2 linked regions of the Rhinolophus ferrumequinum genome follow. The protein of the gene in region 1 binds, or shares a complex with, the protein of each later gene. Links are inferred from orthologs where the notes say so. Each region holds a gene or a part of one and is shown on either strand. Other genes may lie near its edges. The genes, in order: CMKLR1 and RARRES2.

Evidence for each region.
Region 2: the proteins of CMKLR1 (region 1) and RARRES2 are in contact, whole or in part, in a cryo-EM structure (PDB 8ZJG), measured with the Homo sapiens proteins. The link is inferred for Rhinolophus ferrumequinum from reciprocal best matches to the Homo sapiens genes CMKLR1 and RARRES2. Residues at the interface, in NP_001135815.1 of Homo sapiens: Asp20, Tyr21, Leu22, Asp23, Ser24, Ile25, Val26, Val27, Leu28, Phe88, Leu92, His95, Tyr103, His104, Asn116, Leu119, Ile120, Met123, Arg178, Leu183, His184, Gly185, Lys186, Ser188, Cys189, Phe190, Asn191, Trp203, Thr205, His217; in NP_002880.1 of Homo sapiens: Leu34, Phe37, His38, Phe60, Thr75, Ser76, Cys77, Arg96, Leu111, Gly112, Arg113, Leu114, Val115, His116, Cys117, Pro118, Ile119, Thr133, Leu136, Arg137, Gln139, Arg140, His146, Ser147, Phe148, Tyr149, Phe150, Pro151, Gly152, Gln153.

The regions. Positions count from the first base shown.
Region 1 is NC_046308.1:14,933,733-14,948,693, forward strand, and holds CMKLR1 (chemerin-like receptor 1), read left to right. Parts: upstream 1-8,471; 5' UTR 8,472-8,609; intron 8,610-9,188; 5' UTR 9,189-9,191; coding exon 9,192-10,298; 3' UTR 10,299-12,763; downstream 12,764-14,961. UniProt on the Homo sapiens protein: Receptor for the chemoattractant adipokine chemerin/RARRES2 and for the omega-3 fatty acid derived molecule resolvin E1.
Region 2 is NC_046309.1:4,161,379-4,176,744, reverse strand, and holds RARRES2 (retinoic acid receptor responder protein 2), read right to left. Parts: upstream 7,302-15,366; 5' UTR 7,199-7,301; intron 6,073-7,198; exon of another isoform or gene 5,931-6,072; intron 5,437-5,930; exon of another isoform or gene 5,307-5,436; intron 4,936-5,306; 5' UTR 4,912-4,935; coding exon 4,738-4,911; intron 4,516-4,737; coding exon 4,411-4,515; intron 3,501-4,410; coding exon 3,405-3,500; intron 3,082-3,404; coding exon 2,971-3,081; 3' UTR 2,968-2,970; intron 2,817-2,967; 3' UTR 2,704-2,816; downstream 1-2,703. Other genes in the region: LRRC61 (leucine-rich repeat-containing protein 61), read left to right, coding at 1,081-1,860; REPIN1 (replication initiator 1), read left to right, coding at 12,388-12,544, 13,926-15,366. UniProt on the Homo sapiens protein: Adipocyte-secreted protein (adipokine) that regulates adipogenesis, metabolism and inflammation through activation of the chemokine-like receptor 1 (CMKLR1). Also acts as a ligand for CMKLR2.

The sequences.
Region 1 (14,961 bases):
CAGACATGGACAGACAGACAGACATGGACAGAACAGGATGGAGTCCTTTGCAGATTCAGGGCACCCATTTGGCCAATTGGCCTGGGCAGTGACGTGGAGAGGAAGCAGAAGGCACACCTCTGCTGACCAGATACCTCTCAGTTCTGCTGTCCACCGAGCCGGTGGGGACAGGGGCTGGCAGGTGGCAGCTAGAGACGGTGGGGCCCTGGATTCATAAAGACCCAGGTTCAAATCCCTGCACTGCCACTAACCAGGCAAATGACTGTACTCCACCTGCACCCAGGCCTCGGATGTGCCCTTAGTAAATCAGGACTGGTGACAGCAACCTTGCAGGGTTAGGGGGAGAAAGGACTCGTTCAAGGCACCCCAGCCTCCTCTGCAGGGCCCAGGATAGATGGATGAATGAATGAGCCCTGCCTACAAAAGGCATTTTCCGCAGCACCGGGATCATGGCGCATTCCCGCTTGGGCTGCTCACTAGAGGCAGAGAGGCTTTGGGGAAAAGCCCAGTGAACTTGAAGCCTTGTCTTGTCCTGCCTGTAAAATGCACACCCGGAACCCTGCCCCATTGATCTCATGGAGGCTTCTGGGAGGTTCTCCTGCGGCAAAAACCAGAGCATTCTGGAGTGTGCTGAGAAGGGGAAGCAGCGGACAAGGAAAGAGAGTAGGTTTGGCAGTTCAGCAGGCTCTGAGCTTCCTCCTCTGTCCACATTGACTAATTAGACCTACCTTGCTTACCTGATCTACCTGTGTGACCTTGGGCACCTTACTGACCCTCTCTGGGCCTCCGTGTCCTCATCTGTAGTGATGCGTAGAACTGTACCTGGAATGCACGCAGGGCTATCGAGATACATGATTGTTTAACAAAACTTAAGCAAAGAACGTCTGCCTGAGGTGTTTGCCCTCTGCGGCAGGAGGAACCAGATGTGACTTTGACTCCCAGCCCCCGTCCCAGCAAGGGTGAGCAGTGGTGGTGTGGGCAGGGCAGGGCCATCTGCAGCAGTATCGTCTGCCTGGTGACTGTCTGGTCCCTGGCGGGGGCTGGGCTTGCCAAAGAGGTACCAGGGCCTTGACTGCTGCATAACCACCCTCCAACTGGGCTGATGCTGTGACTTCCATTGCTTCCTCCAAGTTCATTCCCTGGCTGACAGAGGAGGCTAGTGGCCCTCTGAAAACGTGCGGCGCAAGGCCAAAGCTGCTTGTTTGGCCCTTGGCCCGCGCAGTGCGTCTTCCTCAGGGAGTCAGTGATCCAGGCACTGCCCACGCAGAAACCCCAGGCAGGGGGTTAGGGTGTCTGTTTGTTTGCTTTGGATTTTTCTGGACCTGGGGAGAGGACATAATGACACCCCTCCATCCATCTTCATCATCATCATCACTGGCCTCTGGAAGCCCTCGCACTTGTCCCAGTTTCTCTCTTTACTGCATTCATTTCCTTTTAGCCCTGTTTGCTACTCCTTCCCCCTCCCATTTCCGCTCCCAAAGAACCACCCTAATTTATTCAGGGTGTATCTTGTGATTTGGCCGTGTTCTTGCAAACAGTGCATTACTGTTTTATGCTTGTTGCTGCCTTTGCATGCATGTTTTCAATGTCCTTAAGTGCTGTTAGGGTAGGAGGTATCAAGGTGTTTTGTGTTTGCTTGCCCTGTGTGCCCTGGATACTCTGGGGCTTCTACCAGCTGCCCAGCGTTCACCCATCCCCTCTCTTCCAACCATAGGCAGACGAGCTGCCTGAGTCCCCTAGATTCTTGACCATTTTGAGCACACAGTCTCCCCGAGGGCTCTTCTGACAGCCTCATGGTGGGAGGAAAGCACACCCCCAGGATGGGGGTGGGGGTGGTATAAATACTCAGCCTCCTGGAGGGTGAACTCCATTGTTTCCTGAGTCACCAGCCTGGGCTAAGGCCACCCTCTGTGCCCTGGCCTAGCCCCTCCCCTTCCCAATCTTACTTTTCCACTACCTTACCGATTTTTCCTGGAACACTTTTGCAGGAATCCTCATGTGAGGCTTGCTTCTGGAGGACGGGAGCTAAGGCGTACCGGTGCAGACACAGCTCACGGGCATTCTTCTCCATAGGCCCTCGGGGGACTGGGAGGGGTTCCCGGGTCCCCGCAGACGGCATGCGAGCCTGTGCCTCACCTCCCCAACCCCAGGGGAATCCATGCCAGCTTCCTAGCTTCCTAGTCCTTGCCACAGTCTGACAGGCACAAAGTATTATCTGGTTGTGGTTCTTTTTTTTTTTTTTTTTTTTTTTTAAGATTTTATTAGGGCGGGGGAAGAGGGGAACAGGACTTTATTGGGGGAACAGTGTGTACTTCCAGGACTTTTTCCAAGTCAAGTTGTTGTCCTTTCAATCTTATGTGGAGGGCACAGCTCAGCTCCAGGTCCAGTTGCCGTTGCTAGTTGCAGGGGGCGCAGCCCACCATCCCTTGCGGGAGTCCAACCGGCAACCTTGTGGTTGAGAGCCCACTGGCCCATGTGGGAATCGAACCGGCAGCATTCGGCGTTAGGAGCACGGAGGAGCTCCAACCGCCTGAGCCACTGGGCCAGCCCAGGTTGTGGTTCTCATTTGCATGTCTTTGAGGATCAATTTGTCATATGCCTGGATTTGGGGGTTTCCCTCCTATAAATTACCTGTTCATAGCATCTGCTCGTTTTTCTGCAGGGGTTGCTCTCTTTTTGGATTTGCAGGAAAGAGTTACTTGTACATCCTAGATAGCAATTCCTTGTCAGGCTTAGAGCTTGTAAACTTATGCTGAAGGCACGGCTGTGTGTGTGTGTGTGTGTGTGTGTGTGTGGAGCCCACTGGAAGGACAGGGCCTGGTCCCCAGCATGGTGGGGCCTTGGGGCAGAGAGCTGGAGGTTGAAACCCCCACGCACAGTCAGTGACGTGGAGGTGCTCCAGATAGGAACGTTAACTTATAACAACAATGACAATGACATAGCTGTTACGGGTTGAATTGTGTGTGCCTCCCCCACCCGACCCCCGCCCGCAAATTCATATGTTGACATCCTAACCTCCAGTATTTCAGAATGTGACTATATTTGGAGATACCGCCTATAAAGAAGTGATTAGGGTAAAATGACGTCACTAGGGTGGGTCCGAATCCAATCCGACTGGTGTCCTCATGAGAAGAGATTAGGACACAGACACACACGGAGGGACGACCAGGTGAGGACATAGGGAGAAGGTGGCCATCCACCAGCCAAGGAGGGAGGCCTTAGGAGAAAAGGCCTCCCTTCCGACTCCTTGATCTCGGACTTCCAGTCTCCAGAACTGTGAGAAAAAAGGTCTGTTGTTTATGTCGCCCAGTCTGTGGCACTGGGTTCGAGCCGCCCGAGCTGACTGATACAGCAGGCAGCAAGCTCTGGGTTTCCAAAGCCGTGGAGAGAAGGATACTACCCCCTCTTGCAGGGCTGTTTGGGGACAGTCTGTGACCACATTTCTAATGGACTCGGCACCTGCCACATAGTAAGTGCCCAATAAATTACAATGCCAGTAATAGTAATACACGTACTTATTAAGCACTTGCTGTATGCCAGATCTAAGCAGGGGGCTGGGGAAGAGCGAGTGTCTGTTATCTAGCAGGCCTTCTGTGGGGGGATGGGGGCGGTGGCCTGGGGGGCGGGTAGGACATGGTCAGCATCACAGAGAGAGCCCTGGGGAACTGGACAGAGTGGAGATGAAGGAGGCAAGAGGGGTCAGAACCGGGTGCTAATAGAAAACTCTGGTGGACACTCATAGACAGAGCCACCACTACCAACGACGACGACAAAAACAAAAACAATAGTGGCTGTAAGCTCCACAGTGTTGCAAAACGCTTCACAGAACTTACTTTACCTTCCTGTGCCTTGGTGTTCCCATCTGAAAATGGGTATAATCATTTCTTAACCCTGGAGGGCTGTCATGAGGACTGGGTGAGACCCGTGTGTGAAATAAGTGGCCTGTTGTCCAGCACACAGGAAGGGCTTAATTATCAACGGTGAGCTTTCCATGTGCCAGGCAGTCAGCGCCCAAGCATTTAACCAACACCCTTTATTCAAGCCTCACAAGAGACCCGGGAGCTTGGTCCTCGGATTAGCCCCATTCATTAGCCCCTTGTATTGAAACTGAGTTTTGAGATGGCTAAGCAAGAGGCCTTAGTCTGTTCTGGCTGCTGGAGCAGAATACCATAGACGGGGTGGCTTAACAGCAAACATTTACTTCTCACAGTTCTGGAGGCTGAGATGTCCGAGATCAAGGTGCTGGCAGATTTGGTGTCTGGTGAGAACCTGCTTCCTGGTTCCTAGACTGTGTCCTCACAGGGTGGAAGAGACGAGAGCTGTCTGGAGTCCCTTTTATGCGGGCACTGATCCCACTCCTGAGGCGCCACCCCCATGACCTCATCACCTCTCAAAGGCCCCGCCTCCTAACACCATCACATTGGAGGTTAGGCTTCAGCACATGAATTTTTGGGGGGGACACAAAGATGCCAAGGTTACACAGTTTGTAGGTTGTGGAGCCAAGAGTCCAACACTGGTGGGTGTGAGGCCATATTCTGGGCCCTTAAAATCCCTTTGTTTTATTGGGCTTTGTTTTTTCCATGATATCATCACTGTCATTGTTATTATTTCTAATTTCCAGATCAACCTGGTGAACTAGAAAAAGCATGAATTCATCCATCCATTTGTTCTTTCAAACATTTGTTTGTTCATTCATTCATTCATTCATTCATTCATTCATTCATTCATTCATCAAACAATATTCCAGGTAATGTGCCAGAGTTATGAAGACACTGTTATGGGGGTGATAGGTACATAGGACTTCTCAATACTATTTTTGCAACTTCTTGTTATTGAACTGGGCAGAGAGGATCTAGAAACCATCTACCTCCCAGCCCCAACTCCAAAAGCTCATTTATTGCCTTAGCTCATCCTCCCAGCTGCCCTGAAAAGTAGGCAGGGCATGTACTGTTATACCCATTTTGCAGATTACACTACCGAGGTTCAGAGAGTAGAAGCTACTTGCCCAGATGTCACAGCAGGTCTCCTGCCTTCTCTACCACCTCCTCCCTGACATTTTCTCCTGGAGACCTATGGGAACTGCCCCAAGGAAAGAACAGCCAGGACTGGCCTCAGGAGTCTGTCGAAGGAGCTTCAGAGCAGACCAGCTCTAGGCCCTGGTTCCAAATGGGGTGTGAGTTCAAGGTCACAGGAAGAATCTGGGAGCCGATCCAGGACAGCTCATCTGCCCCCTGGGCTCCCTGAGGAACTGAGGGCAGGAAGGGGGACAGGCTGGCCACAGGCTCGCATGCCTGCCTGGGCTGTGATGGACAATGTCATCTTTGGCAATGACCCCCATGTGTGCCTCAGACCTCAGCCAGATTGTCCTGAAAACTGGGGGAAAGAGATTCCTTGAGGGGACTAAGCAAAGGAAATCAATGAGGAGTGTTCCTGGAGGGTGGAGCTGGGGACCCTGAGGGGTCAGGCAGGGTATGAATAGACATGGAAAGCAAGGTGGGGAAGAGCAGGGCTTGGAGTCAGAGCAACCTGGGTGTGCATTGGCCACTAGCTGACTGTGTGACATTAGCCTCACTTTTCCACCTTTACATTGGGACTAACAGAAGTACCACTCCTGGGCGTTAGTGGGGATGTGCGAACTAATGTAATTAAAGCGTTTGGTGTCCTGTTTGGGCTTTGTGTGCACCCATCAGTCATTATCAAGAGGAACTAAAACCAATATAAAGTATAATTAGATGTAGACATAAAGGCTAACCAAAACCAATGCAGAAACCTGCAGACCAGCAGGGCTCATGGGGTTGCTGCCTTTGACCTGAAAATGTGACTCTGAGCTTCCTTGGGGCCACATCAAAAAAGGAAAATGTGATCAGTTGTAGAGTTTGGGTTATTGAGAATGAGGAAGCAGCCCAGTTTCTCAGGGGAAAAAGTGCTGTTTCTTCCCCTACAGAGGTACAGAGAAGGTAACTCACTTGCTCAAGGACATAGGAAGTTCATGCAGAAGGAGGATTTGGATGCTGGCAGCCTGGCTGGGTCACAGAATCTGTGTCCTTGACCAACCAGTCCAGTACTTCCTGCTCTGGGGGCAGAAACAGGCTCAGGACAAGAGGAATGTGTGTGGGGACGGAGTGGAGGCTGAATGCAAACCTGTGATTGAGGCCCCCCTCCAGGGAGAGCTGAGGGGCTTGGTGGGGTGAAGACACATACTAACTGGGGATACTGACTCACTCAGCTCTCAGGATGAGGGGTGAGAGGTGACCGGGTAGAAATGCCCAGAGGATGTCAGCGCCACCCTGTGAGCGCCCAGTCTGGCCCCCATTCAAAGATGAAAAGATGTGGCCTCTGACCCCAAGCTGCTTCCTGCACAGCAGGAGAACCAGACATGACGTTATCTGTGTCCTTGGCACATTTCTGCAGACGCTGTGGTGCAAAGTGCTGGGCCTGAGTCCCCACCCCTTTCCGCCCTTCTCCTGAGGCTCAGACACCCCCATACCGCCATCAAAGGGGCGTTGTGGGGGGCATAGGGAGATGGCCTAGAATGCCCTCCTTCCACCTTCTTAACTCATAGTTGTCCTGGAAAACTCAGCTAGTAGGTTAAAACTTGAGCATCATGGGACTCTAGTGGGAATCCGCCTGCCCCGGGAAGGCTCGGACTTCCTGACCTGGCTCCCACCGCAGCACTTCCTCTGCCTTGTGCCTTGCTACTAACTGAGCTTTGTGGAGTCCCCTTCCTTCGTCTTTTCCCTTCTTCCTGGCTGGAACGTGGATGTGATGGCTGCAGGAAAGCCATTTCCTTGTCCTGCATTTCCTGGGGCCTGCATGGTCCGGCACAGGGGATGGGGACACGGTCATCCCTTCCTCAAGGATATACTCAGTGGCTGGCATCAGATCATGATTTCAGGGCACCATGGTGGTGGTAAGAGCCCAGGTTCTGCAGACCTGGTTCAAATCCCAGCTCTGCCACCTCCCGCCTGGATGCCTGGGGCAAGGGTCTTCGGCCTTGTGGGTGCCACTCATGGGCTAAAGTGGGGCCACCTGTATTACAGGCTCAGCAGAGTCCCTGGCATTCATCATTATCATGAACCCAGTCACATTTCCCCAATTAAGAGGGGCTAGCTGCAGTGTCCCTGACTTCTCTCCAAATTCCAGTGTCCCATGAAGCTCTGGGGACCCCTCATTGGTCACCTCTGGAATATCCTCCCAGCAGAGTGGAACGACATCCGAGCTCAAATTCTGAGTCCTTGGAGCCCAGAGTTCTCAAAGGAATTTCCCAAGTGGCTCTTACTTAATAAAAGCAAAAGATGACTTTTATGCAACAAAATATTAAACGCAAACCCATTAAGGACGAGCAATGAATTTAGACGGAGGAAGTGTGGAAAAACTGATCAAGAAGCATTGATTGGCAGTCTGGTTTGGAGCCCATTTGTCAAGATGGGGAGAGCGTGGGTGGTGGTATATGCATGGACTCTGGGGTGTCAGAGCCCTGGGTTCAAATTCCAGCTCGGCTGGCAGCTGTTACCTCTCGGCCGTAATGTAATCACTAACGTTTACTGAAGGTTTACTATGTGCCAGCACTAAGCCAAATGCTCCATGTTCCTGATGCCCGTGGTTCTTACCTCCACTCTGTGAAGTGGCTGTTCCCATTTTACTGACGAGAAAACTTGAGTTTCAGAGGGGCAGAAATCACGTGTTCAAAGCTGCACGGCTGGTGATTGGCCAAGGTTGGGCGTGAACCCTGCATACGACCACTGCCTCCCAGACCTCCCAAGCTTGCAAACTCCCCAGCGTTTCAGTTTGTTCTCCCATCAATTGGGAAAATACCCAACTGTTTTTCCCAATTGGGAAGGACCCGTTACGTTCTCAGGAGGCATTCAGTGAATGTATTCGTGTCTGTCTCCTCACCAGACTGCTGTGACAGCAGGGTCTGTGTCTAATTCACGGGACACGCTGGGCCCAGAGAATGAATGCCCAGTGAGAATGATGCTTCTCTCTCAGTTTCCACAGCTTCAAAAAAGGACTAATAACATGGCCTGGAAGAGCCCCCGGGAAGACGAAATGAGATGAAAAAGGCGTTACAGTTCTTGGCACATAGTGGGTGCTCTGGGTAGCTCCTCTTCTGTCTTCTGGGTGCCCAACATGGCCTGGAATGGTGTTTTCTGGGTCTGGCCCTAGCACTGTTTGCTTCGATCCATCCATACTCTCCCCTGTAACCACCCCTGACTCAGGCTGTCATTTATGGGTGTGCCATGGTGGGGACATGGGGTTTGGGATCAAGGGTCCAGCAGTTGATCAGGGTGTAAGGGGCTCCACCACTCCGAGCCGAGTGACCTTAGGTATGTCACTCAACCTCTCCTGCCCTCTGCTGCTTTTTCTGTAAACTGGAAGTAATGACAATAGATTCTCTGTGGCCCCTGGTCCACCCAGCGCTCTGGCCCTTAGACCAGGATCCAACTGCTGCCTCCTTGTTCTTCCCTGCAGGTGTTTCCAGCTGTGCACAGGGACTGATTGCCTGAGAACCCACGCTGGAGAGCTTCGGACACCATAACAGTGAACGGGGAGGGACTCTTGTGGTCTGAACTATTTCCAAAAGGCACCAGCGGGGGACCACTGACAAGGTGAGAGCCCCAGAGAATGCCAGCATAACTGTCCCCTGGGATTGGGAAACATGGCTGGAACCAAGCTCGTGGCGCTGTGCTCGTCTTCTTCATTGCACTTAGCAGCGTTGAGATTTGTCCATGATTAAGGAACTTTTTAATGACTGTCTCCCCCACCAGACTGTAAGGGGAATGGGAGGGTCCCAGAGTAGCAGCAGAACATGGTTGTCCAAAGGGTAGACTCTGAACCTGGGGCTTGATTCCCAGCTGTATGACCTTGGGCAAGTAACTTAAGCTCTCTGTGCCTCAGTTTCCTCATCTGAAAAATGGGTTCGTAACCTCCCTACCTCACTGAGTTGTTGGGAGGACAAAGAGAGTTTATATATATCAAACCTTTAGAATAGCACCTGGTACATAGGAGGTGCCAGAGAGGTGTTCATTAAATAAGTAAAAACAGCGAAACAGGAAGTAGTTAAACCACCAACCGGCCTTGCTCAGAACCGAGGAGAACCATGTCCGTCTTGCTGGTGTTGATCATCCTCTTGACGCTTAACACGTGCGTTCAAGGTTCCTCTAATGACCCCTGTCTCCTCGTTGCAGAGAATGGGGGACGAGGATTACAACATCTCCTACGATGACTACCCTGACGAGGTCAGCACCATCATGGTTTTGGAGGAGCTTTCGCCCCCCGAAAGCAGAGCGGTCAGGATCTTCCTGGTGGTGGTCTACAGCATCATCTGCTTCCTCGGGATCCTGGGCAATGGCCTAGTGATCTTCATGGCCACCTTCAAGATGAAGAAGACGGTGAACACCGTGTGGTTCCTCAACCTGGCGGTGGCAGACTTCCTGTTCAACCTCTTCCTCCCGATCCATATTGCCTACACCGCCATGGACTACCACTGGATTTTTGGGACGGCCATGTGCAAGATCAGCAGCTTCCTGCTCATGCACAACTTGTACACCAGCGTCTTCCTGTTGACCGTCATCAGCTTCGACCGCTGCATCTCGGTGCTGCTCCCTGTCTGGTCCCAGAACCACCGCAACGTGCGTCTGGCCTACGTGGCCTGCGTGGTCATCTGGCTCCTGGCTTTCTTCCTGAGTTCCCCATCCCTCGTGTTCCGGGACACAGCGCATCTGCACGGGAAGATATCCTGCTTCAACAACTTCAGCCTGTCAGCGGCCAACTCTTCCCCGTCGTCCTCTTCCTCCCGACTGGACTCGGTGGCGTTTGGCCGGCACATGGTGGTGACCGTCACCCGTTTCCTCTGTGGCTTCCTGATCCCGGTCCTGATCATCACAGCCTGCTATTTCACCATCGTCTGCAAGCTGCGACGCAACCGCCTGGCCAAGACCAAGAAGCCCTTCAAGATCATCATGACCATCATCGTCACCTTCTTTTTCTGCTGGTGCCCCTACCACACGCTCTACCTCCTGGAACTCCACCACTCCACCATGCCTGGGTCCGTCTTCAGCTTGGGTTTGCCCCTGGCCACGGCCATCGCCACTGCCAACAGCTGCATGAACCCCATTCTGTATGTCTTCATGGGTCAGGACTTCAAGAAGTTCAAGGTGGCCTTCTTCTCCCGCCTGGTTAATGCTCTGAGTGAGGACACGGGCCACTCCCCCTACCCCAGCCACAGGAGTTTTACCAAGATGTCGTCGCTCAATGAGAGGTCCTCGATGAACGGGAGGGAGACCAGCATGCTCTGATCCTCACCTGGGAGACCCTAATGGACACTCCCCACCTTGGAGTCCAAAGCTCTGCCTTCTCAAGACTATGGCAGGGACCGCTTCAGTACCCACCAATGCCCACCATAGTTTGTACGGGGCTGAACAATGTTTGGAGCTGGGCATCCAGGGCTCAGGACCCCTTTCTTCCAGTGGCATGGTGGACAGGGTGTGCTGTGTGGTTCATAGCTTTGGACCAGCATCCCTTGCTTTTGGGGAGACCAGCTTTGACTGACACAAAGCAAAAAAAGGGAGAATTCTCAAAACACTGCCATGAGCTGCGCTCAGCATTAAAAGTGAGATTACGCGCTCTACCGTGTGCTCCCCAGGAATGACACCAACACTTGACGGGGTCCGTTCCGAGTGTAGCAGAGGCGGTTGGAGCAAACCCAGTGTGATGCACATCACACCTCGCCCCACATACCTGTGCAATAGCCAGCCAGAAATCCCGCCACTCAAGCCCTTCCTCTGGGTTAGGCACATGTAAATACACAGTTACCTGGGAGGGGAAGATGACGTATGAGCCCGTGAACTCCCAGGATGATGAATTTGTTTTTCAGATCAGTTGAGAAGACGGGGAACAGGTCCTGAGGGGCCATGTGGGCTCTTTGTGAGGGCAAGACAAGTGGGGTGCAGTGAGGAATTGGGGCCCTTCAAAGGGTGTGGCAAGAAGCAGCTTACCCTAGACCTGAGCGTGATGGTGCTTTGGGATATAGCTATTTTGAGCGTGGAGGTGGTGCCTGTCCTTTTCCCCAAGCCCTGTTCTCACTTTGCAGTTGTTCCCAGGGGCCTGGGTTGAGGGGCCAGCTTCACCAGCAGCCCCCACCCATCCCAGGGGTTCCTCCCTCCTTCCCTTCCCTGGCTCTGACTGAAGCTGCTCAGAGTAAAACACTCTGGGACAAGAGGTGAGTAAGGAGCGCTTCTCCTCCGCCTCAACTTCCTAAAGACTTGCTGGAGACTCATTCAAAATCAGCTTCTGGAAGCAACCTGGGAGCGCCTCGAGGGCTGATAAGCGTGTCCAAGGGCTCAGACGCCGAACTCAAAGCGGAGTCTGGAGCCTGACTCCTGGAACTGTGCTCCTGAGAGGCAGGCCATGGGGTGCCAGGGGCACAGAGCTCGTCCTGTATGCAGCCATGTTGCTTTTTCTCCTCTCGTAGGACAGCTTCCGGTGCTACAGAGTGTTATTTCCCCATTTACAAATGACAAAGATGAGGTTCAGAGGAGACAAGTAACTGGCCCAAGGGCACACAGCTAGTCAGAGGCTCTGTCTGGCCCTAGGGAAAATGTATCTATTGAGAATATTCTAGACTCTAATGATAGCCTACATTTAGTTAGCACTTCCTATGATAAGCACTTTACATGTATCTCATTTATTCCTCACAGCTGCCCCGAGTTAGGTACAATTACGTATTACTTCCCTTTCACATATAAGGTAACAGAGGCTCAGAGAGGTTAAGTAAGTTGCCAGAGGGCACCCAGCTGGTCTCTGCCAGAGCCTGGATTTGAACCTAGGCCTGTCTGGCTCAGATAAGGCTGTGGAATCTTACGGTTCTGAGAAGGGCTTGGGTTTTGGACCATGAAAATACATTCCTCAGACGATTAATGTAAACAGCCGAGTGGCCTTGAAGCCAGCTTTGCAAATAGTTTTCAAAAATGACCCAAAATGGCAAAGAAAATGCAGTTGGCCTCCAGCTCCCTTGACACCCGTCCACACACGCCCACCCGCTCCTGCACCCCTGAGATCTCAGGGAAGGCAGTGGAGAGACAGGCCTGGCAGGAAGTAGCCCTTGTGGGCCAGAGGCCCTTTGGCCTCTGAGGGGCCGCATTCTGTTCTCTTCCAAGCCGCTTCATCGTGAAGCCAATTCTCCAAGATGCGGTGAACAGATGTAATGTCTCCATAGGCGCTGGGCAAGCTCCTGAGGCCACGGGCTGTTTGGAATCACACCTCGTTAAGAGACAAACTGTTCTTTCGTGGTTGGGTTGTTGTGTTTATGATGAGCCAATTCTGAATTGATCCCAAGCTGGGGCTTCCGATTGCTTTAAGCAATCTGTACTAGGACAGTTTGGGAACAAAAGGGGGGCTTTAACTATCACCCAGGGCCCCACCCCCCAGCACCTCCTTCTCCAACTTCACAGGTGAAGTAACTAAAGTACAAGGCAGCATGGGACGTGTTCTAGGTCCCAGAGACAGTCGTCGGCCACTCGGGCCTCTGACCCCCCCAGGACGCTGGGCTCCACGCCTCACGTCTCCCGGCTGCACACCGGCCAGGCTGGGGGAGCCAGGAAATCATTTTGTTGTTGGAAAAGCTGATGAACAGGAGCAAAATTCAAACCAGCTGTCTTCCTCCTTCGGGTTAGACCTCCTTTTTCTGGCCGCTCCACGGGTCTTCCTGTTCTAACTGTAGGTTCCCATCAAATGCTTAAATACAAACATGACATCCCCTTCACTCTCGTCCCTACCGTTTCTTTTGAGCATCTCCACCAGTCACACACCACGTCCCTGTGGTTCCCAAGGTGTGTTCATCTCCACCGGTCACACACCACGTCCCTGTGGTTCCCAAGGTGTGTTCACCTGCATTACTCTACAGACAAGCTCACGTGGTGCCCGAGAGCCCTCCCTTGGTGGCTGGGACTCAGCATAGGGCCACAGTGCTGCGCCCTGGGTGGGGTGGGTGGGGTGGGTGGTCCCAGGGGATGCTGGGAAACAGGCAGAGGGGCTAGAAGAGAAGGTGGTGTTTGAGGTCGGGAGAGGGAAGGGTGAGGGAAGCCCGAAAAAAAAGGAGAGTGACGATGAAGGAAAGGAATCTGACATTTATTAAGCCTCTTCCATGTGTAGGCACAAAATGTCATGAAACCCTCAGAATAGTTCTGAGAAGAGGACCAGCAGATGCACGTGGGGGATGCAGAAAGGGGGGATTGGATTGCGGACCTCACTTATTTAGGGTCACACAGCTAGTAAATGATGGAGCTGGCCTTTCAACCAGGTTTGCTGCCTGAGCTCCCAGCTTCTTCAGCCCTTGAGAGGAAGGAGAGAAAGACAGAAGGATTGAAGGGGCGGGGGGGACAAAAGGGAAGGTGGGCAGGAGCTTCGGGGCCAGGATGGGTGAGAGAAGAGAGAATCCCATAGTGAGAGCTATGAGGGCCCTTTAAATCATCTCACCCAGGCCTTTCCCATTTTACAGATGAGGGAGCTGAGGTTTTGGGAGGTGCCCTTTGAGAAATCGGCTAAAGGAAGTGGTGCTCGGCTTGGATGGAAGTCATCAGTGATTCATTCCCAACTCCTACCACTGGCCTCCCTCTCCCGTTCCTCCCTAACATGCTATGCTCTGGCTGAAGCCGGAGTACCCTGGGCCTGTGGTTGCCAAACCCCAGATTTGGATAATTGCTGCTGGGTGTGGTATTCAGAACTACCAAGAAGCCATGAAATAACTCAATAGAGGGCTTGCTTGCTTCCTCCCTTTGAGGACGAAGTTTCTCTGGAAGGAAGAGACTGAAGCAAGAGTGGGGCTCAGCGCAGCAGTTTCCTACCACAAACTCCCCCTTGCCTTCCCTGTCCACCTCACAGAATAGCAGTCGAGGCTCAGAGAGGCCAAGTGACCTGTCCAAAGTCACACAGCTATTGTGGTGAGCCTGTAGGAGAAACCCTGAAATTCCCAACTTACCATTCCCTAAATCTTGGACTTCAAGAAGTATGCATCTTGAAAAAAACTTCCCTCCACTTGTTTAGTTTCCCTAGCAACCAAGGATATATGACAGGTAGTGACTTACCCAAGATAACATAGGAAGCCATGGCAGATAGGAGACTGAACTCCAGGATGCCCTACTGCCAAGTCTGTGCTCTTTGGCACCACGTCAGGCCATCCAAGGACAGACGCTTCCATCTACACATTCGTCCACCCATCATTTCCCCTGTTCATCCATCCACTCATCTATTCACACGTCCATCCATCCACCTCCCCGTCCATTAACACAAGCACCTCTCTCTCCCTATCTCCACCCATTGAACCATTCCATAAAAACCTATGAAATACCTACGCTTTGGCAGGCCCTGTAGTCGGTACTGGGACTACTGGGATGCTCGGGCCATGTGCAATCTCTGTCCTTCTCAGCTCATTTATTGGCGAGTGGGAGAGACGGCCAATCATTTACGAACAACACAGAACAAAACCCCACACTCTGAAGGGGAAAGAAGCACAGTAAGTGCAATGCACACACTGTCGAGGGCTCTGACCTTGTCCAGAGGTCAAGGACACTTTCTCGGGGAAGAGACCCTGGAGAGGTGAATGACAGGGAAGCACTGATTCCGTGGGAGGTGCAGGAGGTGCTCCAGGTGGAGGAAACAGAATGGGCAGGGCAGCGGTGTTGATGTGGGAAGGAGCAGAGTGAACTTGAGGGGCTGGAAGGGGATGGGGGCTACCACAGAGCAGGTAGACAGAGCATGGACCATGTAGGATGGAGGGGAGGCAGGGCCAGACCGTGGGCCCCTGAGATTGAAGGGGAAGCTCTGTGCAGGTTAGTGCCGTGCTCAGACCTGGTATTGAAGTGATGCCCGATGCCTGGGCCATTCTGGGGATGACAAGTGGAGAGGGGCAGGAGGGGCAGCTCGGGGTGGGGGCTGCTGCTGCCTCCAAATGAGTGCGATGGT
Region 2 (15,366 bases), on another chromosome or scaffold:
TCATCCTGCCTGGCCTGGGCCTGACTGGCGGAGTCTGCATTGGGAAGCTGCCACTCGGAGCAGAGGTCCCTTCTTGTTTTCCTCTCTGCTGAAACCTTGACCCCTCTGGGGCGGCAGCGTCCCTCCCCCAGGTCTCCTCCCTCGTGCTCCAGTCTTGTCCTGGGCTTACACTGTCCCACAGCCACGGGTGACCTGAAAGGCCCTCCTTCCCCTGCCTTTCTGGAGCCAACTTTGCCCCTCCCTCCAGGATGCCCCCCACCCGCTGCCCTTTTGCTTTCTTTGCAAGTGATGTCATGTTTGCAGCTGGAATGGAGCTGCCTCTTGCGTCCAGGCCTTCACTGTCCCCTCCTTCCCTCCACCTGTCTTCCCTCGTCCAGGACTGAAGGTGGGCCCTCAAGGTGAGAGGTTACAAATTGGCCACGTGATCCGGAAACCATTTGGAATTCACTGCTCACATTGAAAAAATCGAGTCAAGGCAGTTTTAGAGCGAATAAAGCAAGGCCCAGGGTCTCTTGTTTGTGTTTGCTCATGGGTGGCTCTCCCAGGGAGGAAACCAGAGACGTCATGGTGGTGACAAATACCTATTCAAAAATATTTTAAATGGTTACAAAGAAACACCTCAAAACTAATAAGCATAGATCATGAGTGGTTACAGAAAAAGTAAAATTACAAAGTTTTTGCCCCCAGTGCAGATTTAGAAAATGGGAAGATTTGGGAACCTTGGGCCTGAATTCTGTCCATCACGGCCCCCATGTGCTCGGCCCAACTCCCTCAGGGGGGCCTTTGGTCTTCTTGCATCTTGGACTTGGGGCCTCAGGTCTTGCCAGGCCACCGGAGTTTCTGGCCCTGGTGGAAGAGGCTGCAGGGTCACGGGTGCTCAGCAGAGGCTGCTTACTGTTTAATTGTCTCTCCTTAGGGACCTGCTGGCCCTTGAGCAGCGGTGTTGGAAACAGGCCTCTGGCACTGGCCCAAGCCAGTTGACGGTGCCTTTTTTGGGGTGAATGGCCAGCAGACACCCAGTGGTACTCGTGTCCCAGTGACAGACTGTCACGGCCCAGGCCACCTAGACCGACTTCACTGATGGAGCCGCAGGCTGAGAAGCCAGGAGAGGCTGATGGGGTGCGTGTCACGCCCCAGCTGCTCAAGTCACGCTCGGGCGAGTTTGCCCTGGACTCCATCCTGCTTCTGAAGCTGCGAGGCTTGGGGCTAGTGGACCTGGGCTGCCTGGGGGCGTGCCTGGGCCTCGAGTGGCTGGACCTGTCGGGCAACGCGCTCACCCAGCTGGGCCCACTGGCCTCCTTGCGCCAGCTGGCCGTGCTCAATGTCGCCAACAATCGGCTAACAGGGTTGGAGCCACTGGCCGCCTGCGAGAACCTGCAGAATCTCAATGCAGCGGGCAACCTGCTGGCCACCCCTGGCCAGCTGCAGTGTCTGGCCGGACTGCGGGGCCTCGAGCACCTGCGGCTCCGGGACCCTTTGGCCCGGCTCAGCAACCCGCTCTGTGCCAGCCCCTCCTACGGGGCCGTGGTCCGAGAGCTGCTGCCCGGCCTGAAGGTCATCGATGGGGAGCGTGTGGCCGGCCGCGGCAGTGAGTTCTACCAGCTGTGTCGGGACCTGGACAGCCCCCTGTGGCCCAGCTCCAGCCCCGGCCCCAGCATGGCCGAGGCGCAGCCCTGGGTGGAGCCAGGGTACTGGGAGGCCTGGCCCACGCGGAGCAGTTCCATCCTGCAGGAGGCCTGCCGGCAGTTCCAGGACACACTGCAGGAGTGCCACGAGCTGGACCGCCAGGCCCAGGACAGCCTGGAGCAGGCCCAGCAGGCGCTCAGCTCTGCAGGCACCACCTCGTCGTTTGTCTTTTGAATGTGCTCCGTGGCGTGGGCCAGCCTGACCCAGGCCGTGGGGTTGGCGCATCGGAAGGTGTGGCCACATTCCCACCCCACCCCCAGATCTGCACCGGAATAGAGCGTTTCATCACGCTGGTCACTGGCCAGCAGACTGCCATTTGCTTATCTCTGTTCCTAAGAGCAGCCCCCACCCTCCCACTCCTCCCTCAAGGAAAATTCCACACCTTCCTTCAACATCCTTCAGGGAGGCACCTCCCCAGTGGCCTCTAACAGGTGTAAGGGCCCTCCACGAGCAGCTGGCACCTGTCCTGCTACGCGTGCTGTCTGTCTGTGCCCCAAGGGAGGAGGCCGCAGGGCGTGTCCACAGCTGCTGCCACTCCTGGCTGCTCGGGCCTGAACTTAGTGGAAAGAAGGAAGCCACTGCTTCCTAAGGTCAAAGGTGGCAAAGGCAGGGATGCTGTGCCCCCTCTCCAGGGGTCCTCCCAGAGCACAGAGCATGGGAGCTGCCCTCACCCACCTGCCACATGTGCTTGTCCAGGCGACCCTCCGCCGTGGCCCCCTGGAGCCTTCAACGCCCATTGTTACCCACGCTAATCCCTATTAAATATCTGTTTTAATTTGCAGCACTGCCTGTCATTTCACATGGGCATGAGTTCCTGCAAGCTCTGGTCTCTCCTGCGGAAAGGAGGTGCACACACGAGGCCCCCTGCCTGTTTTCTGGGTGTCCAAGAGGAAGTGCCCTGCTCCCCCTGGGGCTTTGCTTCCTCCTGCAAGAGTTTCCCGGCCTTTCCTCACTCCCTCAGCCTCCCACCAGCTGAGCTGAGGGGAGGAGAGGATGTGATGCAAACGGAGGAAAGAACACAGCTCAAGAGCAGTTTTATTAGCTTGGGGATAATGGGGTCGTCCTCGGGGCACAGGGAGGGGTGTTTCACTGGTTACCACCCCCAGCTGTCCAGAAAGCCAGGTGGAATTCTAGAGGGAAAAAACACCAAGATTTGGGTGTGAGAGGCTGTTTTGGTGCTGGTCCTGAGCCCCTCCCCTCGCGCCTCCCACAGCCCAGCACCCCAAACCCCACCCAGGGCTGTCCCCACTCCACTGTTCTCCCACCTCCCTGGCCACCTACCGGTCAGGCATTCGCCTTTATGAAGGCAAATTGTCCTGGGAAGTAGTAGCTTTGGGGGTCCTCACCAATCCGCTGTATCTTGCTGCACTGGGCCTCCTGGGGCTCCTTGGGCTCCTGCCAGCACCAGCACCGGCTCAGGCCCAGGGGCAGTGCCCAGGGGCAGTGCCCAGCGATGTCTGGCTCATCCTGTGCCTCTGCTGTGCCCCCTCCACAGCCCTTAGGGCATATCTGGGCCAGGCCAGAGGCCCTCCTCACCCACTTCTTACCCTCTTCACCTCTCCTCCCCTCTCCTCAGCCTTCCCACCCCTCCTCACCCCTCCTTGGCCCTCCCCACTCCTCTGTCCAGGCTTCAGCTTTCTCACTTGTTCCACAGGCCCAGCTTCTATCCATCATACCAGCCAGCTCCCCAGACTCTCTGCTCCTCTGCCCACTCTTACCCGTTGAACCTGCGCCTCTATCGGGCAGTGGACCATCCGGCCCAGGACTTTAGACTCCGAGTCCAGCTTGATGCAGGCCAGGCACTTCCGCTTCCTCTGGGAGGAGGGGAGGGCATGGGGCCAGGAGAGGAAAGGGGTGAGGGCAGGCCTGTGGCTCCATGAGGGTGGAGGCTAGGGGCTGCCTGCAATAGGGGTCCTTCCCCTGCAGGCCCTAAGGTGGAGGGCGAGGGTCGTGCAGGCCATCTGGTGTCAGGTATAGCCCACCCTCGGACTGGAAAATTTCACAAGTCAAACTATCCTGCAGTTCTCACATCTTTGGAACTTTAGTGTGTGTGTGTGTGTGTGTGTGTGTGTGCGCGCGCGCGCGCGCGCGCAGGAATCCGCAGGCAGGTTTTCCCCACCTGACTTCCACCAGACCTGTTCCGCTGTCATTATTTATTTGTATTTTCTTGTAAGATTTATTTTGAACACAAGGCTTCTGGCACGAAAATCTGGAAACCCACTGGTATAATCCAGCCCCTCCTTTAACAGATGGTGGGAACTGTGGCCGTCAGAGAACCTACAAAGCCACAGAGCTGGCCGGTGCTCAGCAGAGCTGGGTCTAGAACCCGGATGGTTGCACTCCCAGCCCAGACATCTCCCCCCAAAGCAGGTCTTGCCCCCAAGCTGAATGGTTACAGTTACAACCTGTTACGGATCAGCCCAGGCTGGGCCACCTCCACTTGGAGACCCACAGAAAAGAGAATTCACCAGGCCTGGGGGCCAGACCACCCCCACACCTTGGACTTCTCCCCATGACTGGGAAGCTTGGGAGAGGAATGCGGATGGCAGTTGTCCAGCCCTCCCTCCCACCCCTGGCTGTCCAGGCCCAGACCTCCCAGACTGTCCCGACCACGGGCTCCACAGTGGGGTCTCCAACCCCAGGGCTTCTTGTGAGATCTCCAACCAAACCTCAGTTACATACACTTGCACCGGAGCAAGTGCTTCATCACACACGTACGCTCACCCCGTTGGACTTGACTTTGCACTCCGCTTTCTTCCAGTCCTTCTTCCCGCAGTTCGTCTGCTGGAGCTTGAATTCCAGCCTCACAAATGTCCCCGCCGGGAAGGACTACCGACAGACAGACAGAGGAAGGCCAGCAGCCAGCTGAGTGTACAGAACAATTCCTGGATGTGACCCACCTCTCCTCCCGACAGTGGACAGCACATTCGAGTGGGTGGCTGGGCTGGTGGCCCTTCTCCAGAGAGCTGGGTGCTTCTGCACGTGCTTCCCGGGAATGTGCTAGCATCGTGGGGTGCGGGCCCCCCACCCTCCATGGGCCGTGCCGCTAACCGTGTCCGTGGCGCTGTCCATACTGGTCTTCTGGAAGGCCCACTGCACACGTGGGTGCTTGTGGAATTCCTCCAGGGCCACCTGCAGGCCCTGGTGCTGGGTGGCTGTGAGCTGAGCCCTACCCACGCCCACTGTGCCCAGCCACAGGGCCAGCAGGAGTAGTGGCCTCCACATGGCTTCACCTCAGTCACCCTGGTCCTGCAAACGGTGTGTATGAGCCTCAGCTCTTCCTGGCAGCCAGTGGAGCCGTCAAACCCCAGCCCTGCACTTGGGGGCCGTGCCCAGCAGAGCTTGGGCAGAGATAGAGAGACAGGAAGTGGCCCTTTGCTGAGATTACCCTGGTATTCCCCTGTCCTTCACTCCTCCCTACCCTGCCTCCCACTGTTCCCCGGGTCCAACTCAGCCCAGCTTTGGCCCTGTCCTGGGTGGGTGCTGAGTCAGCTTTTGTCCTTGGCCAACAGCCAGGGAAGCAATCCTGGTGCCCACTCCCTCCACCCCCACCCCTTTTCCGGCCCATTCTGTCTCCCCACTGCCCCTCTGCCCCTAGAGCCCCTCTCTGCTTTCCCTACCTCAGCCTCACCAGCCGCCTCCCCTTCCACCCTGGGTCTGCTGGCTTCCAGTTCCCAGCCTCTGGCCCTCATCTCCCCTCCCCACTGGATTACTTGATGGCGGGGTGGACTGGGGCATAGAAAGGAGGCTTGTTGGAGGCTGAATATTTTTGGAAGGACGCAAACACATGGGAGGGGCCAGAGCCGGGTGGGAACCCAGGAGGATGCTTAACCCTCCCGGTGCTGGGACTGCCAGTTGCCATGGGCCCTACCCCTGACCCAGAAAGGGGGTCTTGTCTGAGTCCCACCCATGGTTTTCTTTTCCAGGCAGACCCTCCTTCCCTTGCCTTTTTTTCTGGGCCTTCCACACCACCCCTCTCCCAGCCCTTCTGATCTCGTTCCCCAGTCCATCACTGGGGTCGCCCGAGGGGTGGACCCTCCCCGAGAACTCCGCCTGTACCAGTGGTGTTAGGACCAGGGAGCCACAGATGTGGAAACTGAGGCCCCTCAGTGACACGATACCAGGTTGTTGCCTTACAGCAAGGGCTCACGGACAAGTTGACAAGTCTCGCCCTTGGAGCGGTTCCCTCTGCCTGCCCCTCTTCTCCTGTCCAGCTGCCACACAGCCCGCTCTACCCTACTCACCTCCTCTCCTGTGTCCAGGGGTCTCTCCTAACTTTCCCCGGCAACTTGGCGAAGCAAGCAGCGTCTTTCTGGTCCCCCTGCCCCGGCACCGCCCTCCCTGCAGCGGGTTGGCCCCATGTCTTCCCACGCCCACCTCCTGGGCCCCGCTCCAGCCCAAGGCTCCGCCCCACCCTGTGAGGACCGGCCTCCCTGGCAGCACGCTCACCGGAGCCTTCCCTCTCCATCCCACCTTCCGCAGCCCCTCCTCCGTCCTGCCGCCTGACCCTTACCCAGGCTGGCATGCTGGCGCCTCACCCCGCCAGGGCTAGGTGGCCCCAGAAGACGTGAAACAAGGCTGCCCTCCGCTCACCTTCCCCGGGCCCAGGAGCCCAAGCGCCCGGCCTGGACTCTTCTCCCGGAATACGGGACTGCCCTGCCCCCCACCCTGCCTCCAGGTAGGGCTGCCCTTTTCTTAGGACCTTCCTGGGTGACCAGTCCCCAGCGTCAGGAAACACTCATTTCAGGAAATTGTTCCCAGAAATACAGCCATCCTCAAACCAGAAGACCCCTCAAGGAGTCATTCGATCCCTCCCCTGCATCCAGCACCCTGAAGCCACACTGAGAAGGAAAGAGTCATTTGCTGAGCCGACTCTGACATCCCGCAACCTCTATCGATGTCCAGTCTTGATCCTCGATGGCAATGGACTTCAGGGTTTCATGTGGGGGTGTTGGGAGCCCTCAGGCATGGCAGAACGGTGGGGTAGAATTCTTAGGGCCAATGGGGAGTCAGAGAAAACTGTCCAAATATTGTTTCAACTCCAGCTCATCCTGAGCAAATAGGAACCGGCTCCTGGAATTTGCATGTCAGTAACCAGGGCGACCCTGTCTCTGCCTCCCTGTGTCAATGACAGGAAGTAGAGGGTCTCATTGAACTTCCAAAGCCCAGAAACCCCTGCTTCTTTCTCTGCACAGTGGGATCAGAAACCCTACCCAAGGGGTTGTTGTAAAGATGAAATAAGTAAGTATATGGAAAATGACTGGTGGCCCATGTGGATGAAAAAGGGGCCACATACTAAGCCTGACAAGCTCAGGTGAGGCCAGCATGGTGGGCCCTACAAACTCAGAGACCGAAAGTAACCACATAGGATGGTCTGAACGTAAAAACTAACTAAAAGCAGATCATGGTGGGTAGTCACGTCCTAGGCCTGTCGCTTCCTTGACAAAGGTCAGTCTTTAGGTTAAATGAGCCTGAGCCTGTCTATTGTCTTTTTGCACCGAAGATAACATACCCTTGGAATGTCAGAGTCATCTCCTTTTCCAGACCCTCGAGGGCACACCCACTGCACCAGAGCTGGAGACCACAGAACCTCTCATTGTTACCTTGTTCCCTGAATACTGCTGGTTGCTCTCTGTGCTATAAATGTTAATTATTAACTATCCCGTACCCACCAATGGGAAAGAAGTGTCTCTCCCTTTCACTTTTTGATTCTGGGTTTAACCCTAAGAACTTCTTTTGGCTCCATCAGACCCAATCATCATGCCACTTAGTCGCCATGACTTTATATACGAGACGCATGTTTGTTAGACTGTAAACCTTCACAGACATGCACGGACAACGAGCAGCATCTCAGCCTCCCCTCTAAACACCGAGGGCAGTTTAGATGCTGGGAAATGAAGTACTTTCCAAGTGTTCTTTTTACAATTAATTTTATTGAATATATTATTTGCTGAATGTATTAGTTTAATAGACTGTTACTATAAAGTAGTTAAAAATGCGATATTACTGTAATTTATAATAACATCCACAAAATAAACCTTAAATCCTGTTAGAAGGAAACTCACTTCGAACGTTTTAAGACAGGGAAGGCAAACCAGCTCTGGGAACAGTGAGACTTCATTGGCCAATTCTGAAGGCACCAGCTTTACCTGTGACCTAGATTTGGTCTTGGAGCCGGACAGAAAGCACCGACCTAAAACCTGGTTTGCACTCTGATTCCTCATTTTAGTCGAGGGGAATCTGGGTAGGAATGAGCCAAGGTTAGATGTAGCCTTTTTGTGGGTGGTGAACACGTACAGATGGTTTTCATAAACAACAGCACACGCCTCTCACAGGAAACAAAACACTTGAAAATACACCTGGTTCTGCTAAATTGCAAAGACTTAGCAGAGATTCTGTTTCGAATTTCCTTGTGTTTTCCAATCAAACTTGGCTTTTAGTAGATTTTAAACCAACACTTGATACACATTGGCTTCTAAATCCATCTTTTAAGTTGAAGAAGATATAATCTGGAGTAGGAAAAAAAACATAGCATTGTAATAAGAGATGAGATTTGACCTTGAAAGGGTAGAAGTGCCGATTTCTAGGGAAAGTCAAGAACTCTCTTTCCAGGCTGAGACACCAAGATGACTGGTTGCAGTGTTTCCTGGTAATGTCTAGTCCTAGGACCAAATCACCAAACGGTGGTAAATGCCGTTGCCAGGAAGTGGAGGGCTCTCCTCCCACAAAGGGTCTGACTCTGGCCACGTCAGTCCCCCTCAGAGGTTCCCTAGAGGTTCTGGCATTCCAGCTATTCTGGAATAATGTTTCAGATAAAAGTATATGGTTCAGGTACCTGCTACCTACAACCAGAGTCCTTCAAGTGGTAGAGTTACAGACTGAGGTTTTCTTCCAAGTTCTTTGTTCTTTACCTCGCTCACATACTGACTCGAATTTTTCTGTAAGAAAACGTGGCATTTTCTCTCATTAAAAGTCCTTCCAGACTCCCAACACCTGCTTCACAAGCAGCAGCCAAGGGAAGAGAGTTTGCAGTTTACTGGTGAACGTGTGGCTTGTGGCTGCTGCTTAGGCAGCTCATTCTGGTCCAATTAAATTTGCTTAGCCAGTGGGTCAGCCTCTTACATTTCCTCATTCATTTGGTCCACAAACACTAACTGAATACCTGGCAGCGGGAGATTTGACCATAGCAGAGACAGGAGGCAATGTGACCACTGAAGCAACATGATACGCTGCTGGTTCTGAAAATGGAGGAAGTGGCCCCGAGTCCTACATGGAATGCAACTCTAGAAGCTGGAAAAGGCATGGACACAGATTCTCCCTTCGAGCCTCTGGAGGGAACATGGCTCTGCTGACATCTTGATTTTGACCCAGTGAAACCGCTTTTGGATATCTGACCTTCGGATCCTAGGCAGACAGAACAGCAACTCCAAAGGCCCTAGGGTGGGAATGAGCTATTGTGGCTGGGGCAGCGTGTCCAGCAGGACCCTGGATGCCAGGGAGCTAGAGAGGCAGGCACGGTCAGTCCAGATGGAACCATAGAGGCTGTGACAGTGGTTTGCCACGTCTGCAAAATGTGAAGTGAGCCACCTTATTTAAAAGGGTTAGTCTGGTATAAGAGACTGGACTCCGCGGCAGCTATGCAGGGAGCCAGGAGGGAGCGATGGCCACGCTGAGAGGTGAGAAGTGGTGAGCATGGCTTCACAGCCTTGGTGCACCCACGCCCTGGCACCCGCAGCAGGAAATCTGAGATCTCTACCTGGTTTCCTTTTGACTAAGTTCTTTTTCCTTTTAGAAAAACAGACTCCTGGAGTTAGCTATGCAGTAGAAAAGCGGTGCAGCAGTTTGGGGGATGACCTTGGATCCCCGTCTAAGGCTTCTCTTACAGTGTTCGCCCTTGCCAGGGGTTCTGCATGTGTCCACGCCTTTAAGGATATTTTTAGCACTCTGTAAGTAGGAGCACTCTGATCTGTTCCTGGAGAGTTTCCACGTGACCTAGCAAGACTGCTCTCAACCAAGCTGCTAGCCCTGGTCAGTCAGGGGCTTGCTCAGTTTGGGCCTTGGCTGCTTTCTCTCCCAGTTCTGATGCCGGAAGGGAACATGGGATGGAGGGCTGTGTGAGCATGTTGGGTGATTGTGCAGGTTTGAGGCCCTCCCGGCAGATGGGGCCTCCATCAAGGTCAGCGTGGTATGTGCTTTCTGCCTCTTTCCCACACGACCAAACACCTGGAAGGAGCTCGGTGAGAGTTTCCATATCTGCCTTCAGGATGCTGTCTGCTCCTGCAGCAGGAGTTAACAATCTTACTTAACAAGTCAGTTCTGTTAGAATGAAATGTTCTGCTCTTCTCTGCCCCCTTGTCTCCGCCACTTTTTCAACAGCCATCCATTCAGAAATTGTCATCAAGCATTTGATTTTATTTCATGTTAAATACTAACCCAAGAGATATTTCCATTGCTAAACGAGGGTTAAGAATCATTGTGGAAAACCAGTATGGGCCATTTCTGCCTGGCTCGTGATCAAGCCCGCACCTGGCACAGACGCAGATGGCGGGCACTGATTAAATATTTGTTGGATGTATGAGCGAGGTCTGGAACAGTCTAACAGCATGAGGTGGGTAAGTTTTCCTTCTTGTAGATAAAGGGCTGCTTCTAAACAATACCTGAGGGTCTTCATAGAGGATTTCTGGAGATGTTAAAAATGAATCTATAATGACATAGGAAAACCAAAAATTTGAACAAGTATTTGTACATTTGTTCTGCCATTAAGAATCATGTTATGAAAAGAATATCTAATAGAATAGGGGAAATTCACAATAGTGTTACGTGAAAAGACTAGACTACATCTTTGCAAGGTATTATCCCAGTTATGTCAAGTATACTTAGAGAAAGAACTATAGAAAAAACATCGGAGGACATATACCAAAATATTAAATGTATTTTACTCTAGGAGGTAAAAGTATGAAAGATTTTTATATTCTATTTCCTATTTATGGAATAGAATTTAACAGTGCTTTAAAAATACTTGTACAATTAAAAGATAGTCTTTGTTGAAAAGCACACAAGTACATGAAATTGTGCTAGCCTGGAAAACCCAGGAAGTGTTTCGTTTCGTTTGGAAAGCCAAGGCCACCTGCTAGTGGGTGAGTCACGGGCGGGCGCAGACTCGCACCTGCATCCGCACTGGCCAACCGGCTGCCGCGCGTTTCCCAGCGAAATGCCCCCAAGCGAGAACGGCCCCGCGGCCGGCGGTCACGGACGCCGGCTCTTTGCCTATTTCTGGAATAGAGGGCATTCCCTTTTCCAAGTTGACGCGATCTGGCGTTTTCTATCTCCACTTCTGAACAAACCAGAAGCCAGACGCTCGGATCTGGCGCGTCGCCGCGGGTGGGTGGATGCCAGCACCGCTCAGACCCCACGGCACTGAGGTTCCGCAGCGCGGCCCAAGGTCAAGGTGGCCGGAGAGTGGAGGGCGCGGGCCAGGAGCCGGAGCGCCCTGTCGGAAGGCTTGAGCGAGCTTGGAACCGTTAGGAAGCCAGTGAGGCTGCAGCTAACCTAGTGACCAGTGTGGCCACGCGGTCGCCCAGGGACGCCAGTCCTCCGTAGGGACAAAGGGTCGGGAAACTTGAGCCCGCCTGTCCCGGAAAAGCCAGGCTGTAGTCGCCAGGGCAACGGAGTCGGGCCCTCCCCGGCCTCCCCCGGCCTGGCCCGCGAGGGGGCGCTGGGGGCGGCAAGGGACCCGGCTCGGCCGTCCCGGCTGCCCCGCGTGGCCCGCCCCGCCCTCCGGCCGCGGCCGCCGGCCCGAGCCCGCGACTGACCCTCGGCAGCTCCTGTAGTCACGTGGCGCTGGGAACCGGCGGGGGGGCTGGGCACGGGCCTGGCAGTGGTGAACTCGAACCTGCTGCTGTCGCCGCGGCGGGGTGGGGAGCGTGGCCGCCGGCGCCGGCTTTCTGGCCTCATGGACGCGCGACGCGCCTCCGCGCACCCCTCTGGAGAGGTTCGTCCCGGGAAGGGCGCGGGGTTCCCACGCGGGCCCCGGCGGGGCGGCCCTACCTGCCGGGCGCGTGACCGTGTGCGCGCTGAGTGTGGGGGACATGCTGACCGAATTGGGAGGCGAGCCCGCGCACCTGCGCACAGGCTCCGCGAGGTGCGCTCTGCGCGGGGACCCGAAAGGGCCCACGCGGGGAGCGCTGAGCCGTGTGTCCGCGAACGGGAACGGAGGCACACGCGCGAATACAAAAGGAGGGTGTGGGGTGTCCACGGCCCTTTGCCATCGGGGCGCGCGAGGGGCTTCTGACCGAGTCTTGATTACACGAGCTCGCCTGCGCAGCCCCCTGGGAAACCGGCCTGGAATTCCTGTGGCGAGGAGGGTGGGGGGAGGGGAGTCAGCAGGGATTCCAGAGTTGCTGGCCTAGGCCAGCCTTTGGCCGTCAGCATGGAGAATTCGTGCGGTGACCTTACCCGTGGAGAAAGTGACCCCCATATGCAGCTGTGTACTTCCTTGAAGGGGACACATGCATTTATTAATCCAATATCCATTAAGGTCACTCTGCCAGCCGGGTGTGGGACTTGGGTGGGGGAGGGGGTGGTGGCTGGCGAGGACACAAAGATGACCGCCCCGGAGGAGCTCAGAGCCTCACGCGTGTTTTCTCTCCCCTCCCCACAGGTAAGGCTGGCCTCTCTGCAGTCGGAGGCCTGAGCTCTGCCATGGGGGTAGGGGTATCTTTACTGCTGCAGTTTTCTCTGACATCTGGGGGCTGCCAGAGTGTGGGAGGAAGCAGGCGCTGCAGCCGCAGAAGTATCCCCAGGAGCATCCCCAGCAGGAGCTGGAAAAAGCCTCGTCTCCAGCTCCACAGTCTCCAGGGTAGAGTCTGGCCTTATTTGTTGAGTCCCCTTTCCATTCCACAGCCCCAGGGCTCAGGCTTCCCCATCGTGGGGAAGGAAGGGCCTGTGGGGAAAGGATCCCTTCTCATATTCCTAGAGCCTTTCCTGGGCTCTGTCTGGCCGTTGGGAATGAGTCATGTCTGTGCTCCTTAGAGGAGCACAGACTCTAGGGAATTGAGGATGTGTCTGGCGTGTGAGCAGGCAGTGAAGGGGCCCTTGGGAGTCTAACTGCCACCCCACCCCTCAGTGGGCGTAGGAGGTTCTCCTGCAGGAATCTGGGCTCCCTGGCACCTCAGAGTTGCTGAATGTGGGACAGCCCCTGGCAGGGTTGGGGCAGGACTAGACAGGGGACAGAGATTACAGTCTTTTCTTTCCTCTCCTTCTGTTGCCCCAGTAATCCGTACAACCCCGAGGGAGGCAGTGCCAGGGCTCCGGGCCCCTGAGGGCAACAGGCTGTGGGTGTTCCTTGGATTCGGGAGAGCTTTCCTTCCGCGTGTGTGGGTGGAGGGGGTTTAGGCAGGCAGAAGGTGGGCACAGTCTGGACAGGCGGTGGCCTGGCGTTGTGCGGTGCTGGGCGTAGCACCCTGTTCCCAGAAGGGTTGTTCTCACTCATTCTCCAGGTTTCTACCCTGAGAGACTGAAGTCGGGGAGGCCGAAAGTGCCTCTTCAGGGTGTGATTAGAGCCCAGGCGAGGATAATAGGAATGAAAGGCTCTAGAATTTTCTTTCTGTGGGATCTTTACCAATCCAGGTGTTTAAGAGGAAAGAACACGGTCCTGGGACTTTAGAAGAACCTGTCCCCTCAGTGTCGGTTCTGCTGTTGGTTTACTGTGTCCCCTCAGGCAGATCCTGTTACCTTTTATGCCTCACGGTTCCTTCATCTATCAAACAGGGAGTTGAATATTTGCTCATCCAGCCTCACAGTTGCCATGAAACTCAGATGTGGCAACAGGAAATAGAGCAAGGAGAGGGCAGCAGGGCAGTACTTGGAAAAAGCATGAAGCACTGTAGGGGGAGGCGATAACGTTTTCTGGAGAGGCAGGAATGTGTGTGAAGCCGACTGGAAGTGTTTACTCCATGCCAGACACATGGCTGCCGTGAGGGGGATTCCAAGAAGTGTCAGAGTTTCTCCCTTCTGGTAGTTTCCAGGATCAATAAAGATGACTTCAAATATACTTGAAATGCATGTCTAGAAACCCAGGATTGAAATAACATAGAACCTACAAGGAAATAGAGGAGTCGTATAGATTCAGGGCTCTAGGAGTCCAAAGGGGCGAGCTCCTCTCTGGCGTGGGGTGGCTGGGGAGGACCTGGGGGCAGGGTGAGAGGCTCTCTAGAGTGACTCTGCTTTTCCGCCCGCAGCAGAGGAAGAACCGATGCTGGAACGTCGCTGCCGGGGCCCCCTGGCCACGGGCCCAATCCAGCCCCAACTCCTTTCTGGGCCCTCCCAGGTGTCACCCCAGACCCTGGAGAAGGAGCCCCACAGGCTGAGGTTACAAGGCACTTCCGTGGCCCAGTCGGGCAGCCAAGCTCCAGGTCGGGTCCATCGCTGTGCCCACTGTCGAAGGCACTTCCCGGGCTGGGTGGCCCTGTGGCTTCATGCCCGACGCTGCCAGGCCCGGCTGCCCCTGCCCTGCCCTGAATGTGGTCGCCGCTTCCGACACGCCCCCTTCTTGGCACTGCATTGCCAGGTCCATGCCGCTGCCACCCCAGACCTGGGCTTTGCCTGCCACCTCTGCGGGCAGAGCTTCCGAGGCTGGGTGGCTCTGGTGCTGCACCTGCGGGCCCACTCGGCTGCAAAACGGCCCATTGCCTGCCCCGAATGTGAGAGACGCTTCTGGCGACAAAAGCAGCTTCGAGTCCATTTGCGGCAGTGCCATCCCCCTGCCCCTGAGGCCCGGCCCTTCATATGTGGCAACTGTGGCCGGAGCTTTGCCCAGTGGGACCAGCTAGTTACTCACAAGCGGGTTCACGTAGCGGAGGCCCTGGAGGAGGCAGCAGCCAAGGCTCTTGGGCCTCGGCCCAGGGGCCGCCCGGCAGTGACAGCCCCCCGGCCGGGTGGAGATGCCGTTGACCGGCCCTTCCAGTGTGCCTGCTGTGGCAAGCGCTTCCGGCACAAACCCAACCTAATCGCCCACCGCCGCGTGCACACGGGTGAGCGGCCGCACCAGTGCCCTGAGTGCGGGAAGCGCTTCACCAATAAGCCCTACCTGACCTCGCACCGGCGCATCCATACTGGGGAGAAGCCCTACCCATGCACCGAGTGCGGACGCCGCTTCCGCCACAAACCCAACCTGCTGTCTCACAGCAAGATCCACAAGCGATCTGAAGGGTCTGCCCAGGGCGCCCCTGGCTTGGGGAGCCCCCAGATTCCAGTCGGACCCCTGGAGCCCTCAGCAGAGCCCACCCCAGAGGCTGCACTGAGACCTGCCCAGGAGCCTGGCCTGGAGCCTCTGCTGGAGGCCCCAGGAGAGGCCCCCCGGGACCAGGTGGAAGCCCCCCCATCTCTCTACAGCTGCGATGACTGTGGCAGGAGCTTCCGGCTGGAGCGCTTCCTGCGGGCCCACCAGCGGCAGCACACAGGGGAGCGGCCCTTTACCTGCTCTGAGTGTGGGAAGAACTTTGGCAAGAAGACCCACCTGGTGGCCCACTCCCGGGTCCACTCAGGGGAGCGGCCTTTTGCCTGCGAGGAGTGCGGGCGCCGCTTCTCCCAAGGCAGCCACCTGGCGGCCCACCGGCGTGACCATGCGCCCGAGCGGCCCTTCGTCTGCCCGGACTGTGGCAAGGCTTTCCGCCACAAGCC